Xenopus tropicalis: one gene and its partner. The protein of the gene in region 2 purifies or fractionates together with the protein of the main gene of each other region. This does not show direct contact. Links are inferred from orthologs where the notes say so. Each region holds a gene or a part of one and is shown on either strand. Other genes may lie near its edges.

Region 1 (3,178 bases), on a different chromosome or scaffold from region 2:
AATACAGAGGGCTGATGAACGGAGGCAGAGTGCAGAGCTTGAGTGTGCGATTATTTCTGTCCTGCTCAGCTGTTGCACGCCGCAGCCTCACAGGCAGCTCATACTGTCAGGCACAGTTAGGTTCTAACACAGCAGCAACCAGTGCAAAGGTGCAGGAACTTGGCATCAGCAGTTTGCACAGAAGGCCCTGCATGGGTTAATACATCACACTTTAATATATACACACACACACTTACACCCGCAAACTTGTCGTTTCCACAACAGGTTGCCGTGAATCCTGCACCCCAGAAATCATGCTGAGTGAGGGACATCCTGGCATCCATAAAATTCAGTGTTTTTGCTCCATAGAACGATTACAGCGAGGCGCAGCCCTCAGTCAGTCATTGAAAGCCCGGTTTAGTTTTCGGGTTCTGATTGTGCAGGCTTCTTCTTTCCTTTGGGTTTCGTTGTTTTCGTAGAGACCTAGAAATTGGGGGGAAATATGAATATGGAGGAGCACCTTCCATCTTACTAATGTCAGTGTATTGGGAGAAGCTGCCCTGATAATGTAACTAGAGCCTGAGTATCATGAGGGCAAGGGCATGAATACTTTAGGTCTATGTATTGGTGGGGACAAGGATTTATGCCCAAAGCCGAGTAAACATTACTATTCCAGATATTAAGATCTTACCCCCATATGTAATAAAAGACAATACTTTTGCCCAGGAGCAGTAACTCATAGCAACCAAGATGTTTGCTTTTAAATAGGTGACCAGTAAATGCTACAAGCTGATTGGTTGCCATGGGTTACTGATCCTGGGCAAATTTAGTGTCTTGTATTACATAATCCCCAAAGTCTACATGACAGCATGCCTATGTCATTACTAACCTCTCGACTTAGCCCTTTCTTCTTGGAAACCCGCAGACTCTGGCTCCTCTGTAGTGGTTTAGATGGCATGCCTCCTCTTGTCCTAGCTGCTGTCCTTGTTTCGGCCATTTCAGAATCCGACCACCGTTCATCCATGGAGTCACTATCAGCATGGGAAGTGGTTGGGTATCCTGCCAAGAGGAAGGCACAAAACCAGAACAATATTACATCCCATCAGGCCGGTTCCCCTCATACTCTTCCTTCCACCTTTCACTGTTTATGAAAAGTGACTCCTTATAATAAGTATGGACCTCTTCAAATTCCCATACAAGAAGTATCCCTTTAATAAACCATCCAGCTGACCCCCCCCCCTCCCCTCCCAACATGACCTTATCTATCATAGTAAGTTTTGGTTAGGGTGTGGTTACTCTACTGCTGGGCACAAAACATTAACGAAGCCTGGCAATGTGCCACTTATGGGAGTGTAGCCACCCAGCGCTGGTCATAAGCCAACAATGGATAACAGTACTCAGCATTCCCTACAGAGCAAGAGAGCCCTTCAGGGAAAGGCATCCCCCAGGGACTATTTCAGTAAACACACGCTCATCTGGATGCAGCCATAAAGAGACTATGGGTGATACTTTTAGAGATGCCATCTGCCCATTAACTTATCTTTTATACTAAACCATGAATCACATCCAGAACAAATTTGTAAAAGCTACAGATTCATTGACTGTTGGAAATATTTAATACGTAGTTAATGGGGAACTCCAACTTCTAAACCAAAATTTGTTAGAGCCCCACACAACACAGAAACCCCTAATATACCTATCACTATAATCTGTTCCTTTAAAAAGTATGAATAAATATAATCCTTATATGCTGAAATCCAGCTGCAAAGCAGTTCTCTTTCTGCATCATTTGAAATCCTGGCAGGGGAGGGGCTAAAACAGTGATCCACAGCCTACAGACAGCATGCAGGAACTACATAACCCACAATGCATTGCACTGTGATGGTCCTTTTCTTAGTGACATCATGTGTGCAGGGGATTGTGGGATTTGGAGGGGACAGGCTGAAGGCAGGCTGCGGTCAGTCAAGTTCAAAGTAGAAAGTAGTCAGCCAGGGGTGGGGCTTAGGTAACTGTTCCAAACCACACTATTACATTAAAAATCATGAAAAGGCTGTGGTTGCTTGAAATTATGTTTAAAAAAAAAAAACTGAGTGGAGTTCCCCCAACCTCCACATGTGACTAGGGCTGCTATCTCCAGGCAGGAGGGTGGGACGTGACATCACAGGGCGGGACAATGTCATCACAGGGACACAGCAATCGGCTTATTGACACATGAAAATTTGAGAGTCCTTCCTGGTTTTCCAAATTGAAAAACCCGGCAGGCAGTTTTGACAGGGACAACCCTTCCAAAAACTGGGCTGTACGGGTCAAAACCAGACAGGTGGCAACCCTACATGGACATGGGGAAGAGTCTCGCTACTCACCAATTGGCCTCCGGTGCAGCTCTGGTGCATCAGGATACAGGGCATCTCTGTAGTGTATAGGTGTGTCATCAGGAAGAGCACGCAAATCCTGCATGCTGAAACTCCGCAGGCGCCCCACTAATGCGCCCTGACCCTGCCATAGAGAAACCATTTTAGCACAGGGTTCTACTGGTCTCCAAAAAAACTACATCTGACCGTTCATGGAATCTTGAGAGAGCTCAAGTCTTCAAGTACTCTGCCTATGGGCCTAACGGGTGCAAATCTGCACTTAAGTCTTAACCATTAATAAAGGAGTCCTTAAATGTTTATGCATGGCTTTTGTTTCATTATATTAAAAGAAACAAAACAATGAAGGAGTGAATGGAAAATGATAGGTGGGATAACAAACTGACTACTGAACGGTGTTCCAATCAATCTGGATATCCTGGGTAGGTGCCAGGGATGGGTGGCCGGTAGAAATTACCTTGGTAGCAGCTTGCACTGCCGCACTGGCTGCTATGTTTAAACCTTTTCGCCCAATGTTCACAAATGACTCGTAACTTCGTTCTTTTGCCTGTATAATGTAGGAATCGATTTCCTATGAGAGAGAAGAGACATCAGTATTATCACTGTATGGGAAGCCTCAATATAAATGCACTGAAAACTGTTTATGTATTGAGGATTGGGGTTAATGGAAACCTGCATTTCTCAGGTTTCTGGTACAGGGAATAGACTAACTGGATGACAGTCTGCATTTCCCAAGCACTTATCATACAGTACCCTGGTGTTGTTCTAAGAAACAGGTCAGAACAGGAACTCCATGTGCCGCTGCCTGAGGGGAGAGCTGTACGTGCTAG
Region 2 (3,657 bases):
TCTTCACTGTCACTAGCATCAGTTGGAGGAAGGGCACGATTATGCTCTGAAATTAGAAATATAGAGAGCAGTTTTTCACATGAATAAAATAAGCAGAAATATGTGCAAGTGGTATATATTTAGAAAACAAAATATAAGGTAGCCAATAATATATGAGTTAAACCCATCCATTCACTAGCACACACTTATGAGTACGCCAGAGCAGCATTGTGCTGAGCAACTGTTAATATAGCCACCTATGCAGTGTCTGGTACATCTGGTCTTTCCAAACCTACCTTAATAATGCTGTATCTGTGAGATTTAGTGGGGCTGCTGCTAATGACCCACTAAACTGTGCAGGCAGCTTTAGATAGGCCTCAGTCCCAAATCTTGGTTACTTCAGTTAGCAGCAGTTAAAAGGACAATACACACTCCTATTTAAAGTAAACTTAATCAACTGGTCGTATGTCTTACATTAATAGGTCCATAAATCAAAATCTTTACTGCAAACTGAAATAAACAAGCATACTTCACACAATATCCAAGCTAGAAGGGTTTTATCATAGCCACTTACTTTGCCTTTCCTTATACTTGGACATCATATAGCCACGCACACTGAAGTCTAGCCGCTGCAGGGCTGGCTCCAGCTTCTGGTATATACGCCGCCCCAGCTGGTGATATATAGCAAGAGGCCAAAGCAGAAGAAAAAGTACTGTGGGGTGGCAAAAAAAAAAAACAAAGCAAACAGCATAATGAGAAGAATGTTTTTTCTTGCCCAACAGGGTAAGGCACTGATGGCATACCTATCTACTGTTATATGTCTGATGTTTGAAAAACAGAGATTTCAGTATTCAAAAAGCTTGTGAAATATATTTTTATCACATTCAACATGAACCTCTGTCAGGACTACCTCTAGACTGAACAGTAGGTCAAGCCAGAAGCGAGAGCAGAAAGCAGAAGTACATATTGTTATTTGGTTTTACCTGTTTTAATAGGATTTTCTAAACTACTGAAAGGTTCATGTTCAAGTAAAGGGTTTGTAATTAGTATAATGTAGGGATGAACTCCTTGTTCGCCAGATCTTACTGTAAATATGCTTTTTGGTACAAATGACCATTAATACAAATGAAAATATTCAACTTACAAAGCAAATATGACAGCACAACACCAGGAATGTATCCACCAAGAACAGCTAGGAAAGTCAGAAAGCTGCAGGCCAAAAGGCAAAACTGTATATGAAAAGACACAACAAGCAATAGGTTTACATCAGTCGACAAATACATGCAACATAAGAGGCATTCATCCATCAGTTTTGGCCCAAACCTCTTCTTGGTTGGTCTACCTTATTTATTTATATCAAATAGTAGTCAGTACACACACTAGTAGTGTGTTTGGGTGTAAGTCCTAAAGCAGCCACTATATTAGAATGATATGGACAACATTCCATAAAAGCAGGTCACACATGCCTATAATGGATAACGACTCTTCAAATTGCAAACTAACAATTACTGGTCTGTGTATATGGGCCAAAATGACACCCTTCCTAAACAACATCTGACTGACAATCTGCCAGATATCTATAAAAATTCCACTGGGCAACGACCGACTGCATCGGATTCTGGATGCAGTGATGCAAATACCTCTATGGTGATCCAATTGCTGAGCCCAATTCTTCCTACCACCTCAATGGCCTTCTTGTTTGGTTGGCTTGAAAGCCTACAAAACTCTATAATTCTTTTGGATGCAAGAAACCATATTTTAATTATTTTGATAGATGCCTGTGGGGTGGGGGGAATCACCATTTCAACAGCCTTAGAGAAACAGGTCATTTGTCCATATAAAACCAGGTAAAATAGTTTGAGGCGTTCAGAATAGTACACAAAATTTGAATTACCTTGCCCGGATTTTCAGTTTTGAAGAGCAGAAGATTCCTTAAAAAGTTGTAGACACTGACCCATGTATCAGCTGCATGATAGCACAGCTCTGGGACGCTGAGCAGCCTTGGATGCACATAGCCCCAGCTGAAACACACCAAAACTCATCATGAAAACAAATCTTTTAACATGTAGTAAGTAGAACAAAAAGACCTAAAAGTTAAAGAAATAGTCTAGAGATGCTAGATCTTATGTTTTCAGCTTTATGCCCAAGGATCACATGTTCTGGCTTGCAGTCAGTTACATGATCTTAGGAACAATATACAGTATATGCACAGTACAAGGCTCAGATTTACATGGCAGTATAGAAACCAGTGCATGTGAATTATGTGGATGTCTGGATGCCCCTGAACCTCCTTTTCTGCTAATTTTTTGATAATGTCAAACAACCAGAGCACACGGAGCATGTGCAATGCCACAGGCACAAATCAAACAGCCAAACAAAAAATGGAAAATTTTAAATTTAATATTATAGGGCTACGGTAAATAATTGAATATACACATTTATATGTTAGTTGTCTGGGGATATAAGTAATAATTCTTCCTGGTGTCACCAAAAGCAATAAGAAATCACGTCTTCTCGCTCTAAATGTCTATGCAGTCTAATCTGATGTCCTGTTCTCTCATAATAGGTCTCCACAAATCTATGTGACATATTATATATAGTATGTATATATTACTATTATATATAGCATGTAGTAGTATAAAAGAGATAAAGCAAAACGGAGCTGAACATAAAAAGCATAAATGTTTCAGCTGTCTGGCATCAACCTCAGTCAGACCCCAGAAGCATCTGCTAGGGGTGGCATAGAACTACAACTCTCACTTTCTCATAACTAAGGTAGGTAAGGTGTGGCTAGTTCTAGAAGAACTGGTATGGCCAAGAAAGCAATAAGGCAGTAAGGTATAACTATCTCACCTTTCATTCTCCAGTTCACTGGCTCTTGCTGCTGAAAAAACACAAACAGAAATAGTGAGAACTAATTAACTAATTTGAATATTGTATCTTTTAAAGCACCAGGTATATTATATATTCTGTACTGTCTCTTTACAGGGGCAGAATTGGTAGGTAGGTGGTGCAATGGAACAAAGAAAAGTCTTACCAGTGAAAGTCCTTAATGGGGTTTTGCTAGAAGGGTCTGCATTAAGTATTGCTCATGATCTAACCTATGTTTACATGCCATGGGCTTAACTAAACGTGTCCCCTTAAAAGACAATTCACCTTGTAAGAAGACTAAAGGTGGCCATACACGCACCGATATTATCGTACGAAACCTCGTTTCGTACGATAATCGGTGCGTGTATGGCATGTCGGCGAGTCGACCGATATCGCAGGAAGCTGCCGATATCGGACGACTCGCCGATCGGACAAGTTTGAAAATTTTGATCGGGCGCCATAGAAGGCGCCTGACCAAAATTCTCCCTTCAGAGCTGAATCGGCAAAAGGAGGTAGAAATCCTATTGTTTCTACCTCCTTACCTGCCGATTCAGCCCTGAATGGTGTGTGGCGGATCTTACGATGTTTCGTGCGACCGATGGTCGTACGAAACATCGTCGGATCGCCACGTGTATGGCCACCTTAACACTTTCCAAATTCTTTAGGAATGGTCACCCCTTTGTTAATTGGTATGTATAGACAAGTCTGAAATCTTGTCTATATCAAGGTTTAACCATGATAACCACCCCATGGATGTTGGAGAACTATTGTACTGTGGCAAACTTCAGGAAACCTTGGTTCCAGTGA

Evidence for each region. The genes of interacting proteins can lie anywhere in the genome.
Region 1: the proteins of retreg3 (region 2) and reep4 purify together in Homo sapiens (affinity purification with mass spectrometry; 3 studies listed by BioGRID and IntAct, with this or other methods). This does not show direct contact. The link is inferred for Xenopus tropicalis from reciprocal best matches to the Homo sapiens genes RETREG3 and REEP4.

What each region holds. Positions count from the first base shown.
Region 1 is NC_030679.2:129,572,431-129,575,608, forward strand, and holds part of reep4 (receptor expression-enhancing protein 4), read right to left. Parts: intron 2,920-3,178; coding exon 2,806-2,919; intron 2,476-2,805; coding exon 2,343-2,475; intron 1,039-2,342; coding exon 869-1,038; intron 463-868; coding exon 397-462; 3' UTR 1-396. UniProt on the Homo sapiens protein: Microtubule-binding protein required to ensure proper cell division and nuclear envelope reassembly by sequestering the endoplasmic reticulum away from chromosomes during mitosis.
Region 2 is NC_030686.2:29,107,810-29,111,466, reverse strand, and holds part of retreg3 (reticulophagy regulator 3), read right to left. Parts: intron 2,864-3,657; coding exon 2,833-2,863; intron 2,001-2,832; coding exon 1,874-2,000; intron 1,209-1,873; coding exon 1,124-1,208; intron 692-1,123; coding exon 554-691; intron 47-553; coding exon 1-46. UniProt on the Homo sapiens protein: Endoplasmic reticulum (ER)-anchored autophagy regulator which exists in an inactive state under basal conditions but is activated following cellular stress.